Linked DNA regions of Danio rerio. The protein of the gene in region 2 purifies or fractionates together with the protein of the main gene of each other region. This does not show direct contact. Links are inferred from orthologs where the notes say so. Each region holds a gene or a part of one and is shown on either strand. Other genes may lie near its edges.

What was found.
Region 1: the proteins of dcp1b (region 2) and bag4 purify together in Homo sapiens (affinity purification with mass spectrometry; 3 studies listed by BioGRID and IntAct, counting the BioPlex papers as one, with this or other methods). This does not show direct contact. The link is inferred for Danio rerio from reciprocal best matches to the Homo sapiens genes DCP1B and BAG4.
Region 3: the proteins of dcp1b (region 2) and edc4 purify together in Homo sapiens (affinity purification with mass spectrometry; 3 studies listed by BioGRID and IntAct, with this or other methods). This does not show direct contact. The link is inferred for Danio rerio from reciprocal best matches to the Homo sapiens genes DCP1B and EDC4.
Region 4: the proteins of dcp1b (region 2) and ddx6 purify together in Homo sapiens (affinity purification with mass spectrometry; 6 studies listed by BioGRID and IntAct, counting the BioPlex papers as one, with this or other methods). This does not show direct contact. The link is inferred for Danio rerio from reciprocal best matches to the Homo sapiens genes DCP1B and DDX6.

What each region holds. Positions count from the first base shown.
Region 1 is NC_133183.1:54,296,633-54,305,078, forward strand, and holds the start of bag4 (BAG family molecular chaperone regulator 4), read right to left. Parts: upstream 4,936-8,446; 5' UTR 4,793-4,935; coding exon 4,649-4,792; intron 1-4,648. UniProt on the Homo sapiens protein: Inhibits the chaperone activity of HSP70/HSC70 by promoting substrate release. Prevents constitutive TNFRSF1A signaling. Negative regulator of PRKN translocation to damaged mitochondria.
Region 2 is NC_133179.1:20,905,367-20,913,557, forward strand, and holds the start of dcp1b (mRNA-decapping enzyme 1B), read right to left. Parts: upstream 4,370-8,191; 5' UTR 4,163-4,369; intron 3,424-4,162; 5' UTR 3,396-3,423; coding exon 3,252-3,395; intron 3,091-3,251; coding exon 3,050-3,090; intron 2,787-3,049; coding exon 2,659-2,786; intron 188-2,658; exon of another isoform or gene 1-187. UniProt on the Homo sapiens protein: May play a role in the degradation of mRNAs, both in normal mRNA turnover and in nonsense-mediated mRNA decay. May remove the 7-methyl guanine cap structure from mRNA molecules, yielding a 5'-phosphorylated mRNA fragment and 7m-GDP.
Region 3 is NC_133193.1:23,282,471-23,290,192, forward strand, and holds part of edc4 (enhancer of mRNA-decapping protein 4), read right to left. Parts: intron 7,720-7,722; coding exon 7,529-7,719; intron 7,450-7,528; coding exon 7,373-7,449; intron 7,234-7,372; coding exon 7,110-7,233; intron 5,009-7,109; coding exon 4,395-5,008; intron 1,610-4,394; coding exon 1,508-1,609; intron 1-1,507. UniProt on the Homo sapiens protein: In the process of mRNA degradation, seems to play a role in mRNA decapping. Component of a complex containing DCP2 and DCP1A which functions in decapping of ARE-containing mRNAs. Promotes complex formation between DCP1A and DCP2.
Region 4 is NC_133193.1:46,837,127-46,845,506, forward strand, and holds the start of ddx6 (probable ATP-dependent RNA helicase DDX6), read right to left. Parts: upstream 5,146-8,380; 5' UTR 5,105-5,145; intron 4,810-5,104; exon of another isoform or gene 4,722-4,809; intron 732-4,721; 5' UTR 300-731; coding exon 97-299; intron 13-96; coding exon 1-12.

The DNA.
Region 1 (8,446 bases), on a different chromosome or scaffold from region 2:
GGTAAAATTGGTTAAATAATGATGTGATTTAAAATAAGTGATGTCAACAGGTGATTGTAATTATGATTTGGTACAAAAGCTGTATCTAAGAAAAGTCTGGTCCTTTAGGAGGAAAGATGGATCACCAGTTTGCCAACAAATACGTGAGAAAAGTAATGAGATGTTTAAAAACAATGTTCCTCAAATATATTTCACAATAATGTGCCTCGTACACAACGGGACGCTTTTCGTTTGCGCTTATCATAAGCGTTTTGAGACGTTTTTCTGTATTCAAACCCAATCGATTTTTACTAGCATCGAGCAGAAGAGTATGCGAAACCACTTCTTGGCATTAGATGGCGCTACACTACTTTAAGCTTCTGACACCTGCTTGTAACACAGAGGAAGAAGAGAGAAAGTTGACATGCTTGTTGTTAAAGTTACTGGCGATTCGAACAAGCATGCATGGTTCAAGTAGCTTCAATGACGCTTTTGCGCCTGGCGTTTTGCGCGTTGGTGTGCACGATCACATTGGCACCCTTTATTTAGTCACAAGGTGTTAAACGTTGACAGAAAACGTGAGCAAAAAGTGTCCCGGTGTGCACGGGCCTTGACAGTCGGATAAGTTTAAAGTAAAAGAACACATTGTCAGAATGCATTTTCTTGAGAATAACTTTTTCTAAATATTGTAATAGGTATATTTTAAGACCATGCATTTTATACTAACGTATGCTATTTCTAAATGGTATTTAAATGTAGGGATGCAACGATTATAAATTATGGGTGTGCGATTATAGTCTAAGAAAAAATCACGGTTACACAGTTATCACGATTATTTGCATTCATTGATTTAAACCCCACTAGTTTAAAACTAAAATTATTTTAAATTTGGTTTTGTAGTTCCGGCCTAAATAAATATTTGTTGTCCCATTTACATTGTCAGGTCTTGATCCCAAATTCCGATTTGTTGCCTATATCTGATTTGTTAGCCTGTCTGTTTACACGTTGTTTTAATTGTGACCCATATCCAATTCATGCGTTTACACTTCCCATACAATTTACGATGTCGCGCATGCATAAAGGCAGATTCTAGCATCTGTGCCATGATGATATGTACAATCAATTTATAAATAATTTTTTGTTTGCGTCTAACCATCCACACAAAATAGTCTTATTATTTTGTTGCAGTCGTAACATGGATATTTTCTCAAGTTGTCATTAAACGTGGAGCTAACAAATGATGCCGATGCCGAGTGTTATCAGCCGAGCTCGGGCTCAAGGGCAGCCAAGCTCAGGCCAATTACTACCTGCTATCTGGGACTAGCCACGATGGAAGAAATTGTCTTGTTTTTAGCTCTGCGAAATATGCGAAGTGTAGTAAAATCAGTGAATGGTTCAGTTCAGTCCAGAGTTACCCCTACACAGTTTATGTAATGCTATGGCCCTGGTGTGTGTGTGTGTGTGTAGTTGAAGATGTAGCTTTTGCCTGTGCGCGCAGTGCTGCGCACTGGTGTTGGAGAGAATAAAGTTGTTCTATGTGAAGCCGCAGTGAGTGTATTAATAGCGACAAAAAGCAAAAGTTACAACACAAAGTTTGCCCAACTTTAAAATTATTTTGAGGCGGAGGTGGGAAAGGGCCGTCATCGGAGCTTGCACTTATGGTTCATGTGCTGTATATCCTCCACCATTCAGAGGAATGTATGGGTAACGAGAGAGGTCTCAGGTCTGGTAGGAGCAAATTGTGGCGACTGACCACTTTCCTCCTCTGTTTCCTCTGATGTTGTTTACCGCGCCGTCATCTCCACATACGCTCTTCCTTATGTTATTAAACCGCGGAGAAGCACCACATTGTTGCAAGTTTAATGATGTACAGAATGAAACGCCTCAATAAATCCGATCTGCCTGTTTACATAACAGTCGCATTGTCACATATCCGATCTATATCTGATTTATTTCCACATATGAAGGAGGCCTGAAACCGATCTCTGAATATCCGAATGCATGCGTTTTTTTTGTGTTTACATGGTCATAGAACAGATCCGATCTGTGTCACATATTGGCAAAAAAAATCGGAATTGGGTCACATTTAACTGGCAGTGTAAACGGGGCCTAACAGACCAGCACAGACAAACTAAAATGTTTACTCTATAGACGAATTACCATGTTTGTTAACATTCAGGATGCGCGCACAGGGAGGTGGCAGAAAAAACCGGGAGCGCTAGCATTTACAGCGAGGGAATGACATCCGATGCAGTACAGAGTCTGTTGTTGTCTTAGAAATAAAATATATCGATTGCACATTATATATATTATTTACATAATGCTTTCAGCATATTATAACAGCTCGTCACCCAGTGATAAGCACAGTGATTCGGCAAAATTAACGTTAAAGTGAGCGGCGTTCGTCTGACGGGTTCATTTGGATAGCACCCTCCCAATGAATATTGGATAAGACAAAATAACTAAGCATCCAGTCCCAAACATACAATCTCATTGAAGCTCCAAGTGATTTTACAAGATAGAAGTTAAAGGTGTACAAGTCTTTGGATGCCAACAGTGTTCTGTGTGGTCATGTGCAAGAAATAATGCTCCATGATGACCAGATTTAACACTATGTAGAGCTAAAAACCGAGGTTCTGCATAGCCAAAGACAAGGAAAGAAGACGGAGTTAACGTTATACAAGCTAAGCCCCGTGTAATTAATCACCAACACGCAAAACGACTGCATTCTGACAACGAACTGCACCTGTACGGCAGGATATGTGAACCTACACATAGAGGTAAAGTTGGTTTTATATTCGCACATTCAGACTTTCTCCTTAATAATATAATTTCATAAAAGTATTATCTGCCAAAATCTTATCAGCAGCCAATGACTATCACAGTACAACATTGTTCACAGTCAAATAAACAGTGTTAATGTTGTTTTCAAGTCACACTTGCAGGTTATTTCAAACCGAATATTCAAAGTGTCATGGTAATATAGGGAGTGTGTCACAAGTTGTCACTGAATGAATGTGTGAATATGAAACCAAGTTTACCTCAGTAACTTACACTTTCACGTTTCATTCTTAGCATTCAGTGTCGGCAGTTTAATTCACCTTTGTAACAGTTTTTGCTGAAATCATTTCTGCAATCAAAAACGAGTAATGTGTCTGATTCAGCATAGCGTCAACTTACCTGATATGACATGACAACTGCAGAGTACAGCATTTCTAATTAGGTTGTCACTTCATTCAGCTCCCTTTTAGCCAAAACGTCTGCAGTTAGCATTAAAGCAGTGTGGTGTATGATAAAAGTTACGTTTTCTATTTTTTTTTTTAATTGGCATCTAATTTGGCATCTTACCGCACAACATGACATCTTTCCTATTGCAGCCTGACTTTTTTGCAACCAGGAACCCGCGTGACGTCATGTATGACGTAGGTTGGTAATTGGTCTATTGTTCTCTGTTTAAAAGCCACTTTTGTTCATGTAGTTAAGAAGAATTTAAAGGTGCTGTATGTAACTTTTTGAATTTTTTACAGCGTAAAAATACAATACATTTGCAGAAATTAAAAAAAACATGCTAAGTGAACTTGTTTTTTTTTTTTTTCTGAAAAACAATGCTTAAGTAAGATATTCTGCTCTGAAAATGTGCATTACGTCCCAGAAAGTCGGTCTTTGTTTTGGTCTTTTAAACCGCCCAATTCCAGTTTAGCTTAAGTACTTAATATTTAATTTATGTATTATTTTAAAAAGTTAGAATTGAGTAGATGGTTTTCATTAAGTAATAAACAATAGCTAAAATGTAAAGTAAAGTGTGTGAATTTGAGTTGAACATGCAGAGGAAGAATAAAATAAAATAGAAAGAAACACTTTTCACGTGGAGTATAAGATGAAATGTAAGGTATAGAGGGCCCTTGCAAAATTGGTGAGTCCTGAAGTAAAAAGTTTTAGCCCTGGCCTAAGTGATGTTTAATAAAATAAAAAAAACAACAACTATTTTTCAAACATAATTTTAAATGTTACTTTGAAGGTACAATCCTTAGCATCAGCACATCAAGTAATAAACTTGATTATATTTTAAACGCTCCACAACTCTAATAAACTCACACACACTCCATGTATAACATACATGTCGTATAGGGATCGCGTTCACTCGAAGTTCAACCGTGTGACGCGCATGCACACAAAGGGCAGTGCAATTTGTCCTGGGGGTCAGATTTCAGAACCACCGAGTCCAAATTGATCCACACACGGTTGCATTTTAGCAACCAATCTGATAGTGTTGACCTGCACTAAGAAATTGGCTATATAAACATATATTCTTCACAATATCAGTGAGTTAATTGTTTATGCTCAGAATAAGGTAAAAGACTTACTGAAAACACATTCCATTAAAAAAAAAAACTGTTTGCTTTAAAAGTATTAAACCCAAGGTGTCATCAATGAAATTTGCACGCAACACTTCAGTGTTTCGCAGTCATACAGTATGCCTTTACCTGGAAACATTACGTTAAACAAACCATGTGATTTTACCCTACGACTTATCAACATACCCAGTGGGCCTTACTGAGTCAGTGGCGTGCAGCTAGATGATTTTTTGCCGCATGAATGATAGAAATGCGGTAACGGCTTCTGTAGTGTGTGTTTATACCTCGACGGCATCTGTAAACAAAGGACTTACCATGCCGTTGTTCCAGTTAACGTTATTGTTCTCTGACTTGTAACTTGAAGGCCAGGGTGACTTGGTTTCAGGCTGCATTTGCTGATGCATGATCCACGAAGCCTCACCTCTGCCTCTGTCGCTGCCAGCTGAATCGAAAGCCATTCCTTGTAACGCCACTAACTCTTTTTGCCTTAATTTAATTTCTTTCAATCACAGATTTACTTAAAAGAGACTATTTTGTCGCCACCACGTTTCACAAGATGCTGCAGCTAGATGCGTCAACGGTATTTATTTGCAATATTTGTGTTACACTGGTGAAGCACGGCACTGTCTTTCATTTCAACTCACCAGCCGACCCCTTAACTGACAGCTCAACTGGCCAATAGGAAACATGTACGCTGTTCACGCCACCTCCATGTACGGCCGGAAGTTAAAAATAATAAATATTTCATTACAATGCAATTACCGAGCAACAATAATTATTGTGGGGGTTAGGTTTAGGGTTCGGGTGGGCGTTAATAAAATGCAATCAATTGGTAATTCGATATATTTATAAAACAATTTTTACATTTCCGGGTTCCTAAGCAGGGGATTTCGTCATAGTTGGTGAACTTGGAGCGCAACGTATGAGAGAGTACCATTTAAGATTTTACAAAAATTTTACCCTGTTAAGCTTTTTAACCAGATTTATTGAAGACATGGATGTCAATTGTTCAGTTTTATACTCAGAAACAGTACCTCATATTTTCTGCCATTGTTTGTATACAAAATGGTTATGGAAGTGCTGTCAAATTTTGGAAGTGTTGAAATTTTCTTTTACTGTATGAATATGTTATTTTTGTTTTGTTTTTCAACTATGATAAGAAGTTGGAAATTGAAGCTTAAGTTATTAATCTTCTGATTATACTTACAAAGTTTCATATCCATCGATGTAAATTTAGCAATCATAAACCTGTTTTGGGTACTTAAATAACTAAATAATTATAAAAATACAATTAAGGAGAGTGAAAAAAAAAAAAAAAGCTGTTAAAACCATGTATTTGTTTGACACTTATAAGTTATTGTGAGATGGCCTAGCATTATTTATTTGTAATATTATTATTTTTTCTGTTGTTTTATTTTGTTTAACCTATTGAGTTTTTGTATCTATATAATTTTTTTATACTTTTCATTCTTTGTATACCTCTGGCATTGTTTTGTATGTATCCTTCTTGCATTAACAATAAAAAAACGAATGAGAGAGTATTACAAAAATGTTTGCATTCTAATTTGCTTAAATAATAAAATAACTTCACGATATTTATACGACATTCAGAACAAAATAAACGAGGCAAAAACCAATAATAAAAACAATAACAAATATATATATATATACATACAGCCCATACAGTAAGTCTTCTGTTTCAACACTAATAAACGTGGACAATGATTTATAGTTTAATAATTTATAATGATTGTAATTTCACTGTTCTGTGCTTTGCATTTATCTTTTGTGGTTCAGTCAATTCGAGAGAAAGGTTTGTGAACGGGTTGCTTTTAAAGATCCGACTCAAACAGATTAGTAAATGGGATAGCAAACAAATTGTGTAATCTAACCACTATCATCTGTGATTTTTTTTTTTAATTTTATTTGCATAACGAGAACAATAGCATACAAAAAAATTAGGAATACAATGCTTACATTTTTGTACAGTAAAGGAACATCAGTAGAAAAAAAACACAAACACAAAAGAAAATAAAAATAAGGGGATATAGAAATTACAAAAAAAAAATCGCATAAGAAAAAGATTTTAAAATTGCATACATTGTTATAGCTTTTTAATTTATTTTTTTTTATTTTATTTATTTTGTGTGTGTGTCTTTTAGGGTTTCGGTATAATTGGACTATTTTTGTTCCCATATATTATCATTAAATTAATAAACAAATTTTGCTCCAAAGTTTTATTATTAATATTGTACATCAAAATAATCATCTATGATATCGAACTATAGTCGTCGTTGCAGTTCACGTAAATACACTATCAAAAATACGAAGGGACCTGAACGTTTATATATCTATGGACCTGAACCATTGGTAACCGAAATGGTTAAATTTGCACCGGAAGCGTTTGGTTCTGCGTAACATCCTGTGGAATAAAGGATACGCGTTTGAAATAGTCCATGGCTTGATACTTTGTGTTTAAAAAACAATTCCCAAATGTCAGCATAATGAATTACATGCCAGGGACCGCGAGCCTCATCGAGGACATCGATAGTAAGTTAATTGCGAAATAAGAAAATGTGTTCGAGTGAATGAACACCGGCGAGACTGTTTTTTTTTTTTGTAATGATTTTTGTAAAAGTCATGTTAGTGGTAAACCGACAAGTATAACCTGAACGCTCTGTTCTATTGTTACGCAAGCTTAACTTTATTTTATGTAGCCTCATCTAGTTATTTAGTTCGATTAATTTACCTTAATGCAGGTGTTTTAGGTGATCACGTGATGAAATTGACATATCTTCGAGTTAAAAGGTATTCCTGTGATTGACAATGTTTTCATTTCACAGAAAAACACCTTGTACTGCTTCGAGATGGAAGAACGTTAATTGGCATCCTCAGAAGTATAGATCAGTTTGGTATGTAAAGAGGCCGTTAATTTAGCCTATTTTTATTATCACTTCAAAATATTAAGTGGTGTTCAGGTGGAGGTCTTAACGTTAAATAAAATTCTGTTCAATGTGTAAAATGTCTGGTTGCTGTTTGTCAGCCCATACCTGTATTCAAAATGTTTTTATTTTGTTTGTTTGTTTTTCCCAATGGGGTCATGTTTGGAATGGTATGAAAAAAAGAGTTGTGAGCTTTTTTATTTTCTTTATTATTAGCAAAACTACAATTATATTTTAACACGTTACTTTTTTTTCTTCCACAGCCAATCTAGTTTTGCATCAGACAGTTGAACGTATCCATGTAGGTAAAAAATTTGGTGACATACCTCGAGGGATATTTGTCGTCAGAGGAGAAAATGTTGTCTTGCTTGGAGAAGTAGTAAGTACAGCTTTTCATCATTCTGCAACTTTTTGAGTGATTTGTAAAGCATGTTTCCAATAATAAAAACGATAGCAAGCCATTTTTAGCATTAATGCCCTCGTGTTTTTGTAGTTTTGACCCATCATAGTTACAGTTAAGATGTGGACATCATGTATAACGGTCTCCAGCATCATCTAGTATAGAGGTAAAGTTGGTTTTAGATTCGGATAGTCAGACATTTTCCTTAATAGTATAATTTTAGAAAAGTATTCTTTGCCAGTTCTAATTAGGGAAATCATATAAGCAGCAAATTAATATCAAAGTACAACATTGTTCAAAGTCAAATAGATTGTGTTAATGTTGTTTTGAAGTCATACTTGCATGCTAATTCCAATCGAATATTTAAAGTAACATGGTAAACAATATAGGGACTTCTAAATGAACGAATGTGCGAATATAAAACCAACTTTACCTGTATTCATCTAGTTACTACGGAGCCGTTTTGACAGGAGCAGTGATGTTCATGACGCATCCAAGCATTTATATGTCAAAATTAATTTTATTTGTCTTACAAATGCTACAAACAAACACAGTCAAAAAACTGTTTCCCCGCTACTCCTGTCAGCTGATCACCCATCACCTGTGAGCCCTTGCGTAAGCAGGTGAGCTGACGTGACATATAGGTGGAGTTAATCTATATCACTAAACCACTCGATCAGTGACACAGAATAATACTTTATAATATTATTATTCTTATTCAATCATGCAACAAAGAAAATATAAATATATATTAATATCACAAATGGCTC
Region 2 (8,191 bases):
CGGTCAAAGCTCATTATTGGACTGGCTGAAACATCAGGATCTACAATGATTTGTTCAATAAGCCTAAAGTAGTTTCTCTACTTTGAAAGCCTAAAGCTTTTCTCCATGCACTCTATTTGCAGGTCTCCTTATCATGAATTTCCTTGGAAGCCTGTGCATGTATGCGTGTTAGAGAGGGTTGTTATCTAATCAGGATTGGTTGGTCGGGTCTATGATGCTGGCAGGAAACTGAAAGAGAAACACACACTTCTCTGCACCATATAAGGCACTGTGGCTCTGGGGCCTCTCAAACAGGCCCGCCTGCCAGCGATCTCTGATCTCTCGTTCTCTCACACACACATACACTCACCAGTATGACAGCTTTTTCAATCTAGACACACTTTTACTGCAATTAAGCTCTGAAGTTTTTGGATGGATGCACTCCCTCTGCTCCCTGCCCATCTACACCTTGGTTATTAACATGTGTTTCTGTTTGACATTGATCCTCCTTAATACATGTCAAAATTCATTTATATCAGTCACATTTGAAGGTGGTCAAACTTTTGTCATTAGCACAGTCGGCTGATGTCTGTGAACACCATCTGTGTGCAGCCTGATTTTTTTTTTGTTCTTGCAGTCTAGTGCATTGAGGGGCCAGTGATTTAATGTGCTTCCACATTCACAGTCAATTAATTTTGAAAGCGTTGCTCACTAAACTGTGCATGAGATGGAGCAGAAAACTGAAAACAAAGTTTACCTGGGCCTTAAACACTCATAAATCTGAACATTAGTAAAAGACTACTTTCTCACCAGACAATCAACCTCTGAGCATTCCAAATTAAACACACATTACCCTTTGTTGTAAATGGTGATGCAAGCACGATCCCTAGACCTATTTGGAAATAAATAAATAAATAAATAAAAATGTCTGGTGATCTCATTTGAACAACCAAAAAAACTATATCACTATTTCACTGCCACTATTAGGGCAGAGCAGACGGATGCTGAGCTGCTTATCTTTTTGGAGGACGCCCAGCACATATTAAATGTGTCTTTATAGTGAACCCCCTTGTCTACCCCTACATAACACAATCATTAAGATACATTTTATTATTGACTAAAATTGTGCACAAGCAAGTTTCCTTTATATTATATAGTCTATTTAGATAATGTATAGCCTGTGGTGCAAACAAATAAGTGCGTAATATATGTTGACCCTGCACCTCATCATTTCTCTTGTTCACTTTCTCTTTCACTTATGCATTCCTTTCTAAAGCTCGTATCCGGATATAAACTAACATCATCACTGTAAGCAATAGTCACAATCTATTTTTTAGATGTCTGGATGATGTTTTTTTCTGTTTTAAAAACATTTTAGATGTGAGTCAGTCTGTTCCTGCAGGCGAAATAGAGCAAAGTGAATTTTAAATGACATCAGTGATAGCTTATTAATATGACCAAATAATAATAATTAAATCACTCTTTATCTTGCCATCTTGACTACCTCATGATAAATTTGTCTAAAGCTGCATGCGCCAGCCCAGGGAGAATGTAATTGATGGAGGAATATTAAAAAATTTCCATTGTAAGCCAAAAAAGGTTTTGTGTGCCTGCATGCAAGCAGTCCTTCTGAAAGAGTTTGTAGCATCGTCGTAAAGCTTTAACTTCAGAGAAGTGCATTTGTTTTCCTGATTAACTGATTACAAAAGATAACGAGCCTGAATGTCCTTTTGTTAAATTTAATTTGACAATAAATCAGCTAAATTCAGGTCCATTCATTTTAATTATATTTTTAATAAAATAAACACATTTACAATTCTAAGGCTGAATTTATGTCCATGCTTTTTCTTTATGCCATTAAACTTTTTTCTCGTCTTTCCCATTTGTCATTTCAAGTGTTAGCAGGTTTGGCATGCTGTCCCGAGAGAGAACCCTGAGCTCGGAGATAATTGAGCCCAGGGCTCCCTCCTGGTCAGTTAGCATGTAAGGAGGTACGAGATCAGGTAGTTCTTGAGAGCTTCTCTTGGTACAGGAGGAAAGGGGAAGATGGGGGGCATGGGGGGATTCTTCAAAAAATTAAAATGAGGGAGTAATGTTAGTCGGGCTATTTATAGTCAGTTTGATATAACGTGCTTCTCTCAAAATTAGTTTGTAAAACTTCACTTACTTTCTTAATTGGTCAATATATTATCTATAATGTCTATATTTTATTGTAACTGTATTTATAGGGCTAAATTAAATAAGTTTAGGTAACTGCATTTCTGAAATAATGTGCTTCATTAAAATATATATCGCTGACATGCTTTACCATAAACATTTGTGAAAAATGTAAAGGTAAATAAATATCATCTAGATAGAATACATTTACTTGACAATCTTATTTTTTTAACCCAATAATGCTGATTATCACCCAATAATTTAATGTCATAATCAACATTAGCCTGCTCAGGAGACATCATTGATATGTGATAATATTTTCTTATCACCCAGCCATCTCTCTCTCTCTCTCTCGCTCACATCACATATATTTTGACACACTGTATTATGTAAGGATTTCTTCATTTAAATCAACTATACATGCATACTTTGGGCTTAGCAATATTTTTGCAGTCTTTTGGTTTAGTCTAAAATATTTCACTCTGATGACTTTGAGCTCGTTCAACAAAAAGACAGACTTACAGCGAGCGTTCCTGTACAGGAGAAATGGATGCTGCAGCTGGAAATCCAAGTCCTTAGTGATTGGTTCAGTCAGGTTGTCCATACTCAAGCGATTGAGGATGGTAAAGCCATGCCTGGGGGAGGCAAGCCTGATACACAGAGAACTGACGTTAAAACTCGTAGCATGAGTGGGAAACTAAAGCTTATGAGTCTGAAGGACCTACAAAACTGCATGTGGGTGTTGTGCAGTGTAAGAGCAGACAACAGTGGTACATCTAAATGCTGAGAAATATTGTGCAGGTTATTTCTCTGACCCTTAGAGCCACATTAGATCTCTAGGGCTCTGATTTAGGGCCATACAGTACATGTGGGTGTTGCTTCACTGTTAAAAACATGTAAGAATCAAACAAACCTGCTATAGACAAACAGAGTTCCCTCCACATTTGTCTTTTCCTACAGAAAACCACAACAAAAACATACATTGATCTATTTATGTTTAAGTCGGAGAAAAATAATATTACAATTTAAAACAATAATATTATGTTTGTAGCAGTAGAAATAAATATCTCTATCCACTAAGATGTTATGTTAAGGGAGATGATCTTGTTGTTTACCCATTCATTGGTGTTGTTGTTAAAGGTGTAGAGTGCTACTTGGCTGGCTAGGTCTGTGATGCTGCTGATGTAGGGGTCGAGTCTCTTCAGAGCAGACAGACTCATTGATAAACAGCTCCCACCGCCACCTGTGCTTGCAGTCATGGCTCCAGCTCGCTTCTGTAAATAAAAACTTATGCTCTTTATTAAGATGTAATTACTCTTTATTAACATGTAATTACTGTACACCTCTATTGTATGGGTCTTTTGGTTCAGTTTGCATGTTTACCAAACAAATATAGTATTGTTTTATCTATCTATCTATCTATCTATCTATCCATCCATCCATCCATCATCTATATGTGGGTGTTGTTCAATAGTTTTGGGATAACTTTGATGAAAGGTTTTGATCCACTTCAAATGTTGTCTACTGTGTACAGAAATTAATGCGTCAGACCTTTGCAAGATTACAAAATGTAACTAAATTCGTTATTCTTAGTTATAAGCATTCATTTATATATTAATTTATACAATGAGTAAAAATGTGTGTGCATAAAAATACATTTCTTAAACTCGCATTCACTAAAATGTGGTTGACAAGCTAACCCTTACATGTAGTTACTATGGTATAACGAGTGGTTATATACTGGCCCGAGTCTAAAGAGTCCACCTCATCCTCGTCTGTATTTATTCTGGTCACTTTGACCGGTTAGGTCACCGTTGATGTTCATAGCACAAGCGCTGCGGGACATCGTACACAAGTTTAACACTGCGCTTGAGCGGTTTGTTAATATCCCTAACCCTGCATTAATAGTGTTTTTACTTTTTAAAAAATGGTATACATCATACATTCATAAGTTTACGAGTGAACTAAATAAGGCCTTGGTGAGCTGCGGTTGCTCTTTTATACATCGTACTGGAGTTAAACTTACCTCCACTTAAAATACGGCACAAATCCTAAAATACCTTTAAAAAGCAAAATTTAACTCTGTAAAAACAACACTTAAACAGCTTATTTAACGATCCGGTCTCCTTGTGTATGTTTTCAGGGATGTGCAAAGCAGTAAACAAGAATATAAGGCTTTATTTCACTTGTCTAACTCTCGTCCCGCTGCCGTCATCGCCATGTTTGCGCTGTCAAGAAGACAGAACGAGCTAATCGCCGAGCGCGCGCAAAGGGGAAAATAGTCGAGACAGAGTTACGGATGAGCCCCCAGCTGGCTCGAGCTCACCTGAGAACGCCAGCACGTTCGTTTACATCACGCTAAAGCAGTGAGCTGACGCTGCAGACTTTCTGCACCCAGGGGAACCCTTGAGGATACGAAATTCTTGCACTCCTGCACTATTGCTGCCTCGGTAAAGACGATGATTTGTAGTTTAGTTTTTGTTGCCTAATTGTTTGCGTATTCTTTCCAAAAACAAATGTTACAGTCCAGAGGCCCTGCTGCATTTGTAAAGTCCAACCGCTGTAATGTTACTGTGATTATTAAAATGGCACATTTCCCACCTGCAACTAGCCTACATAAATCTATAAATCTAAATGTACTGTTGTACCCCATTGAGCAGGGGCGGACTTGGGGCTCTAAGCAATTTCAGGTGTGGGGCCCTAGCGATGAAACTCAAAACACTCTCATTCTCTAAAGATTTTTTTTCAAAATATGTTTTAAACTCCTTTAATCTTCCTTAATCCTCTTAATGTAAAATTAAATACAATAAACTCACTCACACACAAGTTCACAAACTATACTGTATGTACAGTTTACTTGACATATTTATGATTAGTTTTTACATTTGCTGTACGGAGGAACGTTGCACTATTCATGGGGCCCCCGGTTTTAAAAAGAAGTAATGTTGTTAAAATCGTAATGGTTATAGACATTGTCATTTTTCAGGGCCCCATAATTCCCTGTAAGCGACTGCTTACTTCGCTAGTGAAGTCTGCCCCTTGAAATTGAAATAGGGGTTGCCAGTCTTTTAGATGTCATCATTATCGTCTTTAGTGGGACCTCTATCCTAAATGTAAAAGACACCTATACAGGTTTTCCCCATAAGGACCATTTTAAACCATGAAAGAAATATAAATGTATAACATATTGTTACACTGTCTCTCTATCTGTCTGTCTGTCTGTCTGTCTATATTTATTTATTTATAAATATGATTATAAATTTATTTTGTTTATTTAAAATGTTAGGCATTGTATTATTATTATTTTGTATTATCTACGTGTTGTGTTTGCTTTACTATGCATTTGTTTTTCTGTTTATATATATATATTTCCACACACGCACACAGGCTACATTTTTCTATGCTTTTTTTCTCTTTAGCATTTCCACAAAGCTCATTGCACTGCCCCATTGGCACCGGAGCCAAGATTGAAAATCCTTTCCTCTCAAGATAATTTACTCAACTGCACTTTATAAAGGTACCACTAGAGGTCATCATTACCTAAATACTCGTGTTTAATTAACTTGTTCAGCATCATTTCCAACCTATTTCTGAGAGAGCACAGCAGCCCATGCAGATTTTTTTTCTAATTCTGTTAAAGTGATCGTGATGTTATGTACACATCTATATGTTTTAGCTAATTAAACACTGCAGAAAAGTTTTAACCAACATTTAGCCTACATTAGATCTTAAACTTTTATATTGATTACACGCTCAGTTTAAACTGATCAAGATTCTAGTAGACAAGAAAAAATTATGTATATCTTCAGTTAAGCCTAGTAAATTAGTTTAGTAGTCTGTAATTAAAGCATTAGTAAAGGAATCTTGTATGTGGCTGCAGAGCAATCACTGCTTTTATCATATTAAGTGTGCAGACAGATACATGATTCGTCTTGACATTTGAAATGTGGCACTGGAAGAGGATTTTTATAATCTTTGAAGAGGCACGGTAACCAGTTTGCCTTATGTACCGATGACCATGTTTTTTTGGACCCCTGAGTTCCCAGAAACTCATTTTATTACAGGGTGGCACCGAGAAACACATTGCGAACATTTCCTCTGTGCTTTGTATAAACATACCAAAGTTAATCAATTATTTGGGGATGCTGATGGGAAATCGCTGACCTCTATGATGAACTTTTGTCCAAAGCAAAATTCAATCAAAGAACTTGGCCGTAGATTGGAGGTCTGTGAATTGGGAGAGTTGGTTCTTCGTTCAAACAGAGGAAGATCTGAAAACCTGCAGTTCTGTGTGTCTCTTACAACCTCATGCATGCTTCTTCTGACTGATTGAATATTCAGCATATGCAGTTCTGAGCGAGAGTGAGAGAGAGAAGGATAATCTGGGGGCAGAGGATGTCTCTTGGGACATGTGAAGTTTTCTCATGGCCGGAGGGAGGGACCGAGGAAGGGCCTGCTAAATTCAGACTAGACCGTTTGCTGATGAAAGATTCTCCGTCATCTTGCAGAAATTCCCAGGCCCCAGTCGTCCCCTTTTATCAGAGCCTGCCAGTCCTCAGGATACAGTGTGTCCTGCCATGGGAAGATCAGGTCGGTTAAACCTTAGCTGAAGGGAAAAATCATCCTGACACCTGCTGCTGGGGGACTCAGCATTCACCTCAGAAGTGGCATGCCAGCAGGAAGTGGATAATAATGTCTAAACATGGTGCTCAGAGCCATGACTGTGAGCGTATTTATGCCAGATTGGTTGTGGTGCAAATCATCTTCTGCAACAATTCCGGACTGTAAAAGAACTCAAATCTCCTCACTGTATTGGAGCTGACTTGCCTCGATCTTCCCAAGTTTGCTCTCTCTCCCTCAAGAGATACAGCCCGTGTGGAAAAGCGTGGAGGATTTATTCTCCTTTCTAGCGCAGTCACATCTGGAAGCAGTCAGGGAGTCTACAGGGGAGGGGGTTTGGTCGTCAGATCATTGCAGAGAGGCTGGTGGTGTGCGCTCTCTCTCCGCAGGGCCACAGACTGACTACTCCCCTTTCTCTCCAATATGGACTGGACGCGGCCGATTCTGCACTCTATTTCCTAACGAGGCGCGACGCAAACTACGCCTGTTGTGGGACATCTCAGATGGAATCGATCATATGTGAAGATTGAAGCCCGTGAGATCTGGAATATACACACCTTTTACCTTTTGCTGCGCTTTCTGAAACGGTCTCTGAAACTACGCCCGCTTTTTTTCTTCTTCTTCTGGCTGTTGCAGCATCCTTTTCGATCAGTTTGCGAGCGAATCGCGCCGATTTGATTATCGATTATCAGCCAGCGGCACTGCTATCATGTTTCCTTAGGTAGGGCCCGGATGTTCCAAAGATGCACTGGTTCGTTTTCTTAGGTGGCTCCTGCGATTATCCTTTCCTGATCTTTAGCTCCATAATGGGGATCAGGTAATATTAACTAAGCCGCAAGAGGAGGAATATCTTACGCTTTGCGTTTTTCATTTTTTTTCTTCCCCCCTTTTCTTTCATTTCTTTCCCCTGGGTTGTTTTTTCTCCCCCTTGCCTTTTTTACAACCTTTTCTTCATTCACCTTCGGATAAAGCTGGACCACATATATGGTAAATGAAAGCAAAAACATGTACATACCGGAGGACACCCTTGAAAACCATCAAGGTAATTTCTTTATTTGTCTTCGCTCTGTTTGGAAACTATGTGTGTGTGCCATATGGATGCGTTGAGGGCTGTATGATGAGTGTGTTGGCATTATCATGGGCATGACGCGGGGGTGTACCCGAACCCTTCCATTTTTAAACACACTATGCGCACTGAAATCGCCTTTGGAGGAAGATCAACAAATGTCATGAAACAAAACCACTCATTATTTTGGAGGAAAATGCATATATGTAGTTGATGAACTTGTTGGCTTGCTGCTCGATCGGCTGTTTATGGACACGCCACAGCTTGATCATGTATATAGATCATTTGGTCACGGACGCGCAGATGTCAATCGATTAACCTGTCAGCTGCTTCAGCCTTAAAATGGCCTTTTAATCATTTTGTGCGGCC
Region 3 (7,722 bases), on a different chromosome or scaffold from region 2:
TCCTCTTAACGCGTGTATCGCATGTTTCCCGTGAAACGTTCGAGTTCAAAAATCTGAACTTCAGCAGACATTCGCGCTGCGTTAACCAATCAGGAACTTGCTCTTGTGGGGGCATGATTATGACATAGCACCCATTGTTGACGTTCCGGGGGAAAATCCTCCTGCCGTCTGGTGTGAACACAGCATTAAGACTTTTTTTTTCTCCTAAAGTATTCCACATAGATGCTTGAAATTTGATCAAAAGGGACAGTGATCATTTTATTTGATTTTTTAAAATTTTCTTACAAAAAAGAAAACTGTGATAATCTTCAACAACATTTAACCGTTTTTTTTAAACAAATAAAAATGCAGTTTTAGAGGCTGATTTCATAAAAATGGTAGCAACAGCAAACTATTGAATGGTTGAAATGAAAATTGAACTTTGAATGTCATTAGTTATGCATTTTGACCTGTTCCATGTAATTAATGCAAAATTAATGATCAATTAACCAAAAAAAGTTTATTTCATTTTTTATTTTTAAATATGATCAAACATATTATGTTAAGTCTAAAGTATGCACAGAGGTTGACTCCACATTTAAAATGATACTATTTAAAATGCTATTGAATTTTCCTACAGAACACCATTGCTCTCTGCAATAAAGCATGTCTCCATTGATGGTATATTCATGTTATGATATACTACATATCATATACACATTATAAGAATCATAATAAAGAAACATTGTAACTTAGAATGTAGTTCCATCCATTTTGTTTTCAGTTAAGAATTCAATTTAGAACAATAAACAGGAAGCTTTTGTAAAACTGCTCCTGCAGGGGAAAAAAGTAAAAGTTGTGACAGGTTTCCTTTTAAAGACAGCCTCCATGTCCTTGATTTAAATTGCTTAAATCACATTCCTGACATACAGCAAAGGTTACACTATCATTCGGTCAATTTGACTGAAATCATGTAATGTTACAGCTCCTAATTAATGACCAGTCAACCACTGAGACATTTATTTCACAGTTGCCGCTAATGTTAATTTAAATCTTGACCCTGATTTTAGTCCACACACCAGATCTTCTATTAAAGCTCCTAAATTGAAATTCAAGGACTGCAAAGCTTCCTTAAGTGCTTATATAACATGACAAAACAAAAAAATATAAAAGGTTAAGTGCCTCAAAGTTAAGTTTTTCAGATGTTGCCCTTCATGCAGTGCGTCATAAAGCTGATTGTAATGTTAAAGGGTTGTCAAGTAGTCAAAAATTTATATTAATAAATAAAAATATATATAAAATAAATAAAAATTTGAGTTGTCAAATTCTAAACTGCCTGAAATGAGTAGTCAGTAATTCAAAGTTTATTGTAGTTCTACAATAAAATGTACATAATGCCAGACTTTGACTAGCTCTCCAATGCTGCAGCTGAAGCCTGGAAGAGTTTGGCTTGTGTTGTGGACATGTCAAGAAAATGTTTAGATCTGCGCTACAGAAAATTTGTAGACTCCAGAATGTAAAGGTTTACCTCTGCTCTGCACTTGCATCTTGACTGTCGTTCTGAGTCAGGTGATATGTGCGTCTATGGTAGGGGGAGGAAATGTGCCTGTCTTTTATTTCCTCCCTAGAGCTGGAAGAAAACAAGCATTATAGTTTTCCACTTTCAAGTATTACAACTGTTTAAAACGTATTATACATAACAAACAGATCATAAAACCTCGAATGATCATTAATAAATGCAAAATAATATTACATTATTAATAAATAAATAATAATAATTATTATTAATATTATTAACAGATAAGTATAAAGTCATAAGTTAGATACAATTATACTTTGTGTGCATATACAGCTATAAAAACAATTAAGAAACTACTTAAAGATTCTCAGTTTCTTTGAAATTATTAGGAATGTGTTGAAGTAAAATGTCAATATTTCTTAATTTCAAATAAATATTAGCATTGGGAACATTATGTTGTTAAAAATGATTAGTGGGGGCTGTTCCATAAACCAAGCTTAGAGAAAAAGCCAGCCTTGTTTTGTTAAGTCAGGTTTATTAATGGTGGATTCCGTTTCATAAATCAAATTCATGATAGTTCAGACTCAGTTCCTCTGGCAAATTATGCTGGGAAACTAGCCTGGCCTGGGGCAGGTTAACTCTCAGGCTAACGCCCTATTCACACGAGGCGTCAGCTTCAACTCTTCCCATTCACTTTTTATGAATTTGCTCAACTTTAAGTGCCAAAAGAAGCGTCAGCAAATCAGATCGCTGTATGCAAATACACCAGCTCAGACAGTGGCCTATTGCTGACTAATTTCATTGGCTGACTTCAGACATGCCCTCTGTCAAACGTTCATGCTGAAGCCCCTCATGAATGGGGCGCAAGTCTTTATTTCATGCTTAATCGAAGTAATGTTAACATTCACTTGTGATAATTTAATGCCATTTTATTCTACTTAAGTGCCTAATAATGATATTAATAATAAAACAAATAATAATAATAAAAAAACTTTATAGTCACTTAATAGTAAATATCTACCCATTTATCTACACACACGCATACACGCACGCACGCACGCACACCTACACCAAATATCTTTAAGAATAGAACAACATGTACATATAAATTCAAACAAGTTATTCCAAATGAATCAAATACAAAATAAATTGGACTGATCTTCAGTATATTTTTGTTAGATTAGTTCCAAATTTTGCTTTGGTACTGAATAATATAATGTATATGGACAAACATATTATTATAAAGCATCCTGTAGAAAATATTAATTTAAACCAGAGATCTGTGAGGGGTGTACTTAGCTATATAAAATCAAAATTATACAAAAAAAAAAAACAATGACAGATATAAAAGTAGGTTACATAAATAAATAGATACTTTCCCGCGGGACATGGGAAACAAGTGTCAAAGGTAAAGCAGCAAATTGCAGAGTTTTCAGAGCAAATTAAAAATCCCAATGATCCATGCTCGACCATGTTACAGGACAGCAACGTGCATGAGCAGTTATCTAGATTATTTAAGCTGAACTCCGATTAGTTAGATAAAATGATCTTCAACTTGCTGTTATGGAACAAATTTAACCATCTGCATTTATTTAAGCTCAAAGAAGTCAGGCTTTTGACTTTAACCCCCAATTTTCTAAATGACTTTTATGAAACAGCCCTCTGGTAAGAAACACAATTTTTTAGACCCGTTTCAATCTTGACTTTGTACCTATTGTTCCATGATTATTGTTTTTAATAATTATAATCTACAATTCTGTCATTTGTCATACTACTTTTTTGGTGGTGGATCTCTGTCGTAAATGGGTGGAATCTAAACGGTTTAATAAATGAAAAACAAAGAAAGTAAACCCTAACCCGTGTTTCCTCTAGGATTTTTTCCAGCTGTGGCGGCAGGCCTTTTGCACAGATCTACCTGTGGCGTTATTTCAATGACAAATGTTGTGAGTGCGGTATTACAAGTTGAGATCGCATTTATGTAATACAAACATGCAAATCTCTTTACTTGCACGCTGATTTTATCCGTGCACACTTCTTGCACACCCCCTCGAATATACGCGGCTGAACAGCAGTTTTTATTGTGAGCTCTCAAATAAACGCTGCTGAAGTGCAATTTAGTGCGTTCATGTAACTAGTTTATATAACATTTATTAGGTCATTTAATATTATTTAACATTAATTATTATTTAGTAACATTTATTAGGTCTTCAACATTTATTAGAACCTGCAGAGCGGCACTGAAGCATCCTGAAGTAAAGTGAAGCGGCTATAAACTCCAGCAAGATAAAGTCATTGTATGCAGAGCCATAGACCTTTATCTATAAATATAATAATGGAAACTGTGTTCATCTTAACTGAAAGCTATGTCGTGTTTGCTGGCCTCACGCATCACGCACCTGTCAGTCAGTTTGTCACTTAAAAGGGGTAAACAAATTACGCACAGCACTACTATGGTTAGAGAAAAGTTTGCGCTGTTATAATTCACTTACCTTTTAATATGTTTTCGTGTGATTATTACCCGCTATAAAAAAAAACGACTGAATGTTTTGAATGAGAAGCTGTAATGTATGAATGTAAAGGATGAATTTTGGTGTGGCGCCCCGCCATGGAAGAACCAATGTAGTGAAAACCATGCTAACATCTGTTTGTTATTTCAGTTAAGTTTAAACCGTGGTATCGTGTGGTCTAAAATGAACATATGTCTAAAAAAATTGGCATCTCTTTTGAAAAGTACTAAAAAATACTTTAGAAAAACTGCTAAAATTACTAAAATTGTATTAAATATGAAAAATGTCATTAATTGTTAAATGCATAAGCATAAATAAGACAAAATATACTGTAACATACCCACACAAAAATAAAATTACATATATTATAGTAAAGCACAGGTACTCACCAGTCTCCTAAACCGTTGTCTCGCAGGCTGTTGCGCGTCTCTCGCGTGATATCAGGAGCAGCAGGCCATGCGTGGTTCACACTGCTGTCAGAACAGGATCCTCCGGCTGCTCCGGCGTTTTCCTGTGAGAGAGCAGTCTCCAGCAGGGATGGTGTGTTACTGAGTCTCTGCTCTCCATCCACAGACGCTGCACCCAATTCAAGAGGCAACAAACTGTGCTCAGCGCTGCTCCGGGCCCTTGGAGATAGCAGGTGGAGAATTGATGCGGCTGATGCCATGCTGTCAGAGTGCAGGATGGGGCCCGAATCAGCATTGGCACCGGACAGTCCCCTCTGCAGCGTCTCGGAGGCAATCTCAGGTATGTCCTGGGACATTGCAGTAGAGGCAGATGAGATGACATCCGGTGAGCGAGCTCTTGTTGGAGACGCCTGTGGGACAACCATGGGATCTATTGCCTGGAGATCCAGAGAGAGAGGAGGGTTTGGAGGGGAAACCTGCGGAGGAGGAGATGGGAAATAAGGGAGGGGGAGTCGGTGAGAATAAGGAGCAGCTTCGCAGAGCAGAGAGGCTTCTTGAAGGAGGGATGAAGAAAGAACCAGTGGGGGAGCGAAAGCCTAACCAGATTGGGATTTTAAATGGAAAAGTGGAGATAGAGGGATGCCAGATAAACAGAAGAATTGGTAAATGATTTGGAATCAAATTTGAAGGATTGACAGTTTATATTGTGAGTGAGGAAGTCTGATCAGCTTCTCTGACTATTCCATAAAAAAACCAGATCAAATTTACAACATTCATTAAATGTCACATATATTCAGCGATTATATATGTATATTATTATTAATTTAATTACAACAACAAAAAGACATCATCAGCAATAAATAATACATAAGCTAAAAATCTAAAACAGTTTAGGTTTACTTTTGGTAAAAAAAGTTAGCCTTTCTGAAGGATTCACATTTAAAAATATTTCTTTAAAATCTTTACAGATAAAAATTGTAAAAAATAGGGCATAATAAAAATGTGTTTAACAGTTAGGTTTCTGTTGCTCCTTTTAGTAAATGTTCAGTAAATATAATATTATTATTCAATGGTACACTTGGACAACACTTGCTTATGAAATAACAAAGCTCTTATTTAAAAGTAAAAACATTACTAAACATGCCACTTTTTTGTAACAACAATAAACTCTATTATCACTAACTGAATTAAAGGGATAATTCAAGCAATCTTTTGTATTTAAGTTTACTCAGCCTCTACTGGCACTAAATGCAGATTAAGATTTTTTTTCCTGTGAAACACAACAAAAAATATTTTAAAGAAAGCTGGAAATCAAACCCAAAGGTTTTGGTAAATGGTGAGCCACCTTTTCCTTTTGAGTGAACTATAAATCGAATGCATCCTTGATTAATAACGACATACATTTCAAAAACCATACCCAAACTTTTATAAAGTACTGTGTTGGTACTACAGGGAGTGTGTAAAGTAGTGGTTCTTAACCCTGTTCCTGGAGATCTACCTTTCTGCAGAGTTTAGCTCAGGGGTGTCCAAACTTTTTGGGCCGAGGGCCAGATGCAAAAAAACAAACGTTGTCGCGGGCCAAATTTTACATACATCACACAGACACGCATATATATATATATATATATATATATATATATATATATATATATATATATATATATATATATATATATATATATATATATATATATATATATATATATATATATATATACAGTTGAAGTCAGAATTGTTAGCCCCCCTAAATTATTAGCCCCCATTTATTTTGTCCCCAATTTCTGTTTAACGGAGAGATTTTTTTCCACACATTTCTAAACATATTAGTTTTAGTAACTCATTTCTAATAACTGATTTATTTTATCTTTGCCATGATGACAGTAAATAATATTTGACTAGATATTTTTAAGACACTTTTATACAGCTTAAAGTGACATTTAAAGGCTTAACTAGGTTAATAAAGTTAACTAGTCAAGTTAAGGTATTAGGCAAGTTATTTTATAACAATGGTTTGTTCTGAAGACTTAAGGGGCTAATAATTTTGACCTTAAAATGGTTCATAAAAAATTTAAACCGCTTTTTATTCTAGTCGAAATAAAACAAAAGTCTTTCTCCAAAAGAAAAAATATTATCAGACATACTGTAAAAATGTCCTTGCTCTGTTAAACATCATTTGGGAAATATTTAAAAAAGAAGAAATAAATCAAAGAGGGGCTAATAATTCAGACTTCAACTGTGTGTAGATAGACAGACAGACAGACAGACAGATAGATAGATAGATAGATAGATCATAACAAGAACTACTGCTTAATTGAATGCATGTAATAGCGACACCCGGTGGTTATTTATTGAATTACGTTCATTTTTGTATAGCGGGCCAGATTCTATTATTATTTATAAAAAGCCTCGCGGGCCACCACAAAACTGATTGCGGGCCGCAGATGGCCCGCGGGCCGTAGTTTGGACACGCCTGGTTTAGCTGCAACCCTGATTAAATGCACCTCTCTTTATTTACCAAATGCTCCTTTAAATCCTACTTAGTTAACTTAGTTGTGTGACCAGGCTTGAAGCGGAACTCTGCAGAAAAGTAGATCTCACCACCTGGTGTAAAGCAACATCTTTCTTACACTGAAACAAAGATAAGACCTACTGAGGCACGCTATATTGCAACATTGAGAATGACATTTCCATTGGTACCTGGATGTTTTCCCCAAGGCCTGAGATGAGGATGGAGTTGGATCTTGGACTGCCTGCATTGGCGAAACTGCTGTTGACACATTCAACAGACATTTTAGGGCTCTGAGTCAGATCATCTCCACCTCTAAAAGAAAAAAAAATATTGCATTTTGATTGCAGGAGATGACAAACGGTATGACATTTTTTGCACATTGTGAAGTTAATATGAGATTTAAAAGGTTTAATCAAGTTTTACTATGAAAACATTTAGTTAAATACACCACCTTGCACCGCTGTCTGAGCTGCTCATGGCCGTGACAATGGTCAGACTGCTAGCACTGCTGCCAGGAGAAGCGGGCATCTGAAAAAACAAGAACCATGATGAATGTATTCATCACTGAAGGAACCTAAAGGATGACGCTAAGATAGTAAAAGCTTACAGAGGCGCTGGGTGTCATGAAGGCATCCGGGGTCATGAGTTTGGGCAAGGCTGATGGGGCTGGACTCATGAAGTCAGCGGGACTTGGAAGAGGCAGAATCTTACTCAGGTCATTTTGTGAACCACTATCGCCAGACTCCTTGTCAGAGCTCATTGCCTCCACATTCAGATCAGCCAGCGGGTCAGAAAAACCTG
Region 4 (8,380 bases), on a different chromosome or scaffold from region 2:
TCATCTCCAGGCCTGATACATGGGAAGGGAAAGAAAAAGTTAAATACCAAATCATCTCTAAGAAAGCAGCACACAGCGGCATTTGCAAGGACTTACTTGATGATAGTGTTGGCTGTGGGTACAGGCTGGGAGTTGCCATTGTTGACTGTGCTAGAGGCTTTGACCTGGGCAGGCTGTGTTGTTTGGGACCCCCCTCCACCTCCACCGGGACCCCCTGCTGGCTTCACAGAACCTCGCATTTGGCCGTTCTGATTGGACAGTCCCAGAATCACTGGGTTCTCCATTCTGGCTGTACTCATGACTTAAATATTCTCTCTTGAAACAGTGAGCGACAAACAACAGTGGAGATAATACTTTCTCTTGATGGTCTTGCAAAAAAATTAATTTGCAAGTCGTCCTTCCCACAGCTTTCTCAGTGTCCAAAGCGCACAAAAGCAAAAAAAAAAAAAAAAAAAAAGTTCAAGCAAAATTTTTTTACCAGTTCCTTGTTCCTCAATATAAAAGTCTCTTGTGGAACATCTCAATATGAATGTCACTCAAGCAACAGGTCACAGATGCTATAAGCAGGAAGATTAGCTTCAATTATCCTTCCATTAATGAGTGAATTTCTCCTCTGCAAAAGGAAAGTTTCACAGACAAGGGGCCAGGAAGCCAGTGTTAGTCTTTTCAATTGTTCTGTCCATTCCCTTCTCTCAAATTAGTTAACATGGGCGATTTCAAATGTTTTCCACCTGTGTGAGAGAGAGAAGCATTATAAACGTGAAACGTTAGACCAAACCACTACAAGATTTCAGTCAATAAAAACACTGGTTACTGGTTCCAATTTTTTTTTCAGTTAGAGGATTTTCCAAAAAAAAAAAAAAAAAAAAACTGGCATCATGCCACATCTTACAGTAGCAAAGAGAGCTTAAATAAAATAAAAAAGCATGCAAATACAAAAAAATGCCAGCAAATTCAGAAAAGATCACAAAAAAATTGTGCTTTTTGATAGTGCGGTGAGAAATTGCAGTGATGAAATTCATTTTTCATTTTCATAAGTTTGCATTATAAGAAAATGCAGTGCGTTTTATTCATTTGTTTGCATTGTGAGAAAATTAAGTGAATTTTTTAAAAAATTTGCGTTGTGAGGATTTGCATAACGTGCTGTAAAATGGATGAATAGGGCTAGGCAATTAATCGAAATCAACATTCACTAATAATCGATCTAATTTTTCCAGGACAATTTTCACAAGTACTTTCCCTACGTGTCAGGTGACCCTGCTTTGTTAAAGGCTGTGGCTAATTTCTACTTCTGTAGCCAAATATGACCTTTGGTCAAGTAGGACGATGGACTCATTCTTGAGCCTTACTTTGCACTACATTGACGAGGATTGGAAGCTGTGCCAGAAATGCCTTTAGACAGCACATAAAACTTTGAGGGCAAATAAATAAAATATTTGTTGAATTTTCTAAATGGTTAGTTTTAGATTTTGATTTTAGGCCAAATGGACCAGCCCTACAGATGAAGATCTTTTCTTATTTTGCTGGTGTTGTTTTGTGTTTTTATCTTATATATATATATATATATATATATATATATATATATATATATATATATATATATATATATATATATATATATATATATATATATATATATATATATATATATATATATATATATGTATAAATAAATATACACACACACACACAAGTTTTAAGATTTCATAGTGGCTAATATTATGACACCATATGCAAATTGGTAAACAGAGATTTTAAAAATAAATCGCTTTGTACAAGATCTGAGATAATTCCCAAATCACTACAAATTCAAAAATTTTGATCCATCAAGTTTGTACATGTTAACATTTTGTAGCAAAATCTCAATATGCAAAACTTGCTTAATGCCATCCGGACATTAACTTAAAAATATTTCTTCATCTGAACCATTTATGAAACTTAAGGAGAAGAGAAGGATGAACAATGAGTATATAAAAATTGCTTTATTGGTGTCTATGTAAACGTGATTAAGACAATATTCTGATTAAGAGTCCATGCAAATAGCGATAAATTAATCTGATTAAGGTCATTATCAAATTAAACAAATAAGATTAAGACATGGAGTATGCCAATTTTAGTCACATTACTAAACTGCAGTAGACATGTAAACACCTTGAATGAAACTATTACCATCATGTGGGATTTGCTGCATTTTGTGACTGGACATTTCATACACACAGCTGTTTGACACTATTCTCTGTACCTACCGAGTCAGTGAGGAATCACAGACACCTGCATCATGAAATGTGGAGTTTATGTTTCCAATACTGCGTGCGTTATCAAATTCCAATAAAACGACCCTCTTACAGCATTAAATACTCATCCAATATTTCATTTGTCAGGGGAGGCATGCATGAAATGTTCCTGAGTGAAAGTGCCAAACTGCAGTTAAAGTCGACAAATTTAAAACACCGGAAATTACATGATATCCCAGAGGAAATGTGAATAGCGTGGCGATTCTATGAAGTTAATTGAATTGTGCTACAACATGTAAAACAGGATCATGAAAAGAACATACAAATTGCAACTTATGCGAACACCTTAATCATATTACTGTCTTATTCAGATTAAGGCAAATAATTTAATTACTAATGTAAACTTAGTCATTGAGTGCTTAGATCAAGCAATGTCGACGAGGCATGGGACGATAAGTTTAAGGTATACCACGGTTTGGAAAAGCCAAGGTTTTAAAACCGCAAAAGTTTCCTACTATACCATTCCTAAGGTATGTCCAAGTTTTGTTTTTTGTTGTTGTTGGTTTTTTAGGACAACAGTATTTCCAGCAGAAAGGAATCAAAAAAAAAATCCAAAGATGCTGTTTTAAATTGTAAGGAAATCTGTGTTTTTTTAAACAAATGAAGACAGCATTAGTCAAAGGCTGTGTCCGAACCGCCTACTACTCAGTAGGTACTGCTTTTGAATTTAAATGTACTACTCGGCAGTTACAAACGTACGTTCTATACAGTATGAATGTGAAAAGTATGGACAGAATTCGGACGTACTATATCCACCATTTTGTCATGGTCACGTGACCTACCTGCATCAGTTGCGTTGCTTAACTTCCATTTATGAATTCTCTCACGTGGCATTATGGGACAGCGCAGCGTGCATAGGATGCGCACTCCGGAATCTCACCGGAAGTAGCAAGTCATCCGGGTACTTCTCGCAAACTGATTTTCGAACTCTATGAATTTGGACATACTACTCGACTCGCATACTGATTTTAGCATACCATATAGTATGGAAGTATACGGTTTCGGACGCAGCCAATGATTCATTTGAATTATTTAGCCTAACATGTTTACCATTACAAAATATATCAAATGTTTCTCTAAATAAAATAAATTGTGTTGAAAGGGGAGAAAAAAAAAGTTAGTTTTTTTACCCAGACATTTAATTAGAATATATTTTAAAAGGAGTAATCACAATATCGTAAAACAGAGATATTTTTATCCGAGGTTATCATACCATCAGAATCTTATACCAGCCCATGCCTAATGTCGACCAAGCAAGACATCGTATGAGGTCTAATGTGAAACTTTGTGATGCAAGATGAGATCAGGGTTAAGGTTGGGTTTGATAAAAGGTTCCATCATTTTAATTTTCTTTTAACAAAAAGTGTGCTAATTGCTCTGTGCATCTTTACCACAAACTAGCACTAACACTTATACTTCTACAATTACCTGCAATATTACAGCATCAAAAGAGTTAACACACACTCATGCAGAAATTACAGGGACAAGCTCTGGTAGAAGTGTCAAGATAAAAAAGTCTCTTGAATTTGTAACCAATTACAACTTTAATTCATTTTCAGATCTATGAACAGACCATAAACGTTATTAAATGTCTAATGTGAGTTCAATAATGATGGCAGCAGCAGCTGGCACAATGTCAACACGATAGGCCTCATTGTAAAACAGCCTCGCGTTTACCTAAAGCATTTAAAAATGACAAACTTTAATAAATGTGACTTCAGTGTTGTTATGCATCTATAAAAACAGGTGAAGTTGCACGTTGACTACACAGCTGTGGAGCTTAAAATTAGACATAACAAATGTTTGGTTACCTTAAGTTAAGCGAAAGCGTATAGTTCATTGAACTCATTCCACGAATACTAAAAAACAATGTTATGTTATACGATATAACCAGTGTCACGTTGTAGTTATTAAGCTAAAATGTACATCTTAAAGGTTAACCGTATTGATTCCACATAACGTGAAACTCGGCGTCACGCAACAAACGTTAATGCTAATGTTTAGCTACGCAGCTACCGCTGACGGCTTCAAGCCAGACAGATTTTAATAGTCGGATACATTTTAAATCTTTAGCAAACACGGTTATCATAATACGATGGAATGTGGCTTTTATTATAAGCAAATCTAAATATATAAGCTGTTAGGAAGGAAATATTAGCAGTGCTCAAGCTCGTTAGCTTTTGGCTTGCACACAGGCCGCACGCGTAACCTCAGATTCACAATCACCAGTATAAAGAACTAAACGCTCGTTTCATAAACGCTAAAACAGAAGCAAGAACATATTTAACTCTTAACTAAATCAGCTAACACAAACACTGCGAGCCAAAAAGACATCACAAATTTGTAAACACCAAGACACAAAGAAACCCACAAAACCGACTTAATCCCCAGAACACAACACGTAGATTTGACGTTCTGCAAACTTACCAAACGTGGCAGAGAATATCTTTCAGTGTGTTTGTGTTTGTGAATTATAGGTGTAGAGTTGTGACATATTTCGGGGTGTAAAGCGAGTGTGTAAGATGGCTTCCAGTCATCTTTAAACCCTCCCATAATCAGTCACATGAGACAGAGCCCTGTCTAATCCACACAAACGCAACGCATATGACGATTGTTTAGAAAACGCAATTTAATGCTGCCGTCATTTCAAATGCGTTGTTAAATATATATATATTAAGAATACGTTAATTAAGCTCTTAGAATTTCGTTTTATTTATGTTTTATTTATTTGTAAGCGGTTGAGGTCGTCACAATTACACATTTTGCTTTAAAAACGTCCTAATTACATAGCAGCGCAGTTTAATTCCTACCTGAGCTTGTTGTAGTCTTGGCTGAAGCACGGCATGTGAAGGGTGTCATTTAATTAGCTCAACGTGTTTATACTTGACTAATTGGTGTAAGGATCCATGTGGTTTAGACATACTGTTTTTTTATTTGGGTATTTAAAAACATATTTTATCTTTAATAATAATGCTTATTTTATTATTGTTGAAGAGGCTTGAAGTGCACAAAGTAGGAATCTGTTGATAGGCACGCCTGAGGTGTTTGGAGGTAGTTAATGAATTGCCTTGAGTAGTTTAATGACTAATTAGACTGACTTATGTGGCTAGAAAGTAGTTTTTTAACGTAACGTAACATTTTTGTGCATTAGTATGTCTGTTATTTATTTATTTTTCGTTGCGAAAAAACATAAATTTTGAGCACGATGACGAACGTGTCCTTAAGTTTGACATAATATACATTAAACCTAATAATTCATCAATTTTCTCTCAGCTTAGTCCATTTATTCATGAGAGGTTGCCACAGCGGAATGAACCGCCAACTTATCCAGCATATGTTTTTTTTTTTTTTTTTACAGCAGATGCCCAGCTTCAACCCAGTACTGGGAAACATCCATACACACTCATACACTGCAGCCAATTAAGTTTATACAATTCACCTAAATGCAGTTACATCCAAATATATTTAGATGTGTTGTTGGACAGGAAACGTAAGTGGACTGAGTCTATAAGGAAAAGGCAACAGAGAATGTACTTCTTAAAGAAACGATTGTCTTTTATTGTTGACAACACATCGTTGATCATATTTTCTAGTGTTTTTATTGAAATTATTGCAACATTTTGTGTGATCTATTGGTATGGAAATGCTTCTGAGGCCCAGAAGAGGTCACTGGGAAAGGTGGTAACAACAGCCAGTAAGTTCTTGGGTATAAAACAAAAGGGCATTAATAGTATATACAAAGAAAGTGTATTAAATAAGGCTATCATGATTGTCTATGATGAGAGACATCCTTTATCAAACACCTTTCAATTGTTACTATCAGTTTGTCGATATTGTGTTTACAGATGTGTGAGAAATAGGACAAAATGATCATTTATAGGGAGCGCGAGGCACAAAGTAATGCAGGGTAACGTAACATGGAGTTGTAAGGTATTTGCTCAGGGTTATTTATGAGGTGCCGTGTAGGATTTAAATCAAACTTTGCTTATCAACACATACATAAAACACGTGTATATACACCTATAAATTACTCGCATATACACCCATACTACTGGATGTTCAAAACAACATGAATGAAACTTGTGTATATACATATAAACTTGACACATGAATACACCCACATACACACGCACATACATATAAACTCGATCCTCACATAAACACTCACATTAACACATGCACATACATATAAACTTGCTGCATGCAAACACACCTATACACACTCGCATATACAGATAAACTCGATTCTCGCATAAATATCCACATTTATATGCACATACATATAAACTCGCAGCATGCAAACACACCTATACATAATCGCATATACATATAAACTCGGTCTATGCAAATACACCCTCAACAACACATGCACATACACAAACTCACTGCATGCAAACACACCTATACTGGCATATAGCCCCAATGTCTAAACTCAGTGCGTGTATAAACACCCAAAATAACACTCGCGCAAACATACAAAAAATAAATAAATAAATAAGATTCACAAACGTTTATCAGGAATCTGGTTATTGCAAAGCTTATGAAATAGAAATAATGTGATTAATAGAGGGATTAAATATGTTAAATTATGAACATATGTTAAATAAAATATTAGTCTATATAAATAGACTATTCAAAATAAGAAATATTTTTATTTAAAACCTTTTCATTTAATTAGGTAATTACATACACAAATATAAATGGACAGATAGAGCCCTTAAAGGATGTTCAAAAAGCAACCAGAATTATAAATATAAATGTACACTCAAAGTGAACTCCTCTTTTCTATTGCAAATGTTAATGTTAATGCCTATAGTCTTCTTGTTTTGTTTTTTAAAATTTTTATAATTATTATGCTTTTTATATGTTTTTACAATGTGGGTGTCAAAATTGCAAGATTTTTGGTATCATTTTGATTGTTAATTATTCACCATATACAAAAAAAAAAAAAACCCTGCTGATTAAAAGTCTCTGCTCATCATGTTGGTCAAGTTAACCCCCATGGAAAAGCTACATATATATTATCTGGATACTCCTTTTGTGTTTAATAACTACTACTTATATTTTTACAGCAGCTGGCATCCAGCATTTTGGTGCATTAGCCTGTTTATTGGGGAAAACCACTTAAGTGCATTCCTGCCCCCTACTGGACATAAGTGTGTATCATAACCCTTGACGAATAGTGACACCAATAATAAAACAAACATTAAAAACTAATATTAGACAAACATATTTTATTCAAAATGATTACTTAAGCATCCTTATATTTATTAAACCATAATAACATTTCCAATAATTTAATTGCATAATAAACCTTTAATTTTGCAGGAGCATTCCTTAGCATTATCTTTTTATTTATTTTTTTTAGAATTAGCATAATCTATTTTCATAATTCAACAGATGTAATTCTTCTATTAATCACATTATTTCTGTTTCTTAAAGTTTGCAATAACCTGATTCATGACAAAAAATAATCTTGTTCATTACACTCAAAGGACTTTTACGTTGAAATTAAACTACTTCCTTTTAAAGTGAAATAACTTCCTTTTACTGTGAAAATTCATGCATACACACATATGAAATCACTTACATATATGTATATACACAACTAACTGTATATATGTTTGAGAATTTTATTTTGTATGTTTGCACAAGTGTCATTTGGGTGATTATGCACACATCAAGTTTATATTCTTATGTGAGAGTTTATGGGTGTATATGCATAGATCAAGTTTATATGTATATGGAAGTGTGTATAGGTGTGTTTGCATGCAGCAAGTATATATGTATATGCAAGTGTGTATAGGTGTGTTTGCATGCAGCAAGTATATATGTATATGCGAGTGTGTATAGGTGTGTTTGCATGCAGCAAGTTTATATGTATATGCATGTGTTAATGTGAGTGTTTATGTGAGGATCGAGTTTATATGTATGTGCGTGGGTATGTGGGTGTATTCATGCGTCAAGTTTATATGTATATACACAAGTTTCATCTATGTTGTTTTGAACATCCAGTAGTATGGGTGTATATGCGAGTAATTTATAGGTGTATATACACGTGTTTTATGTATGTGTTGATAAGCAAA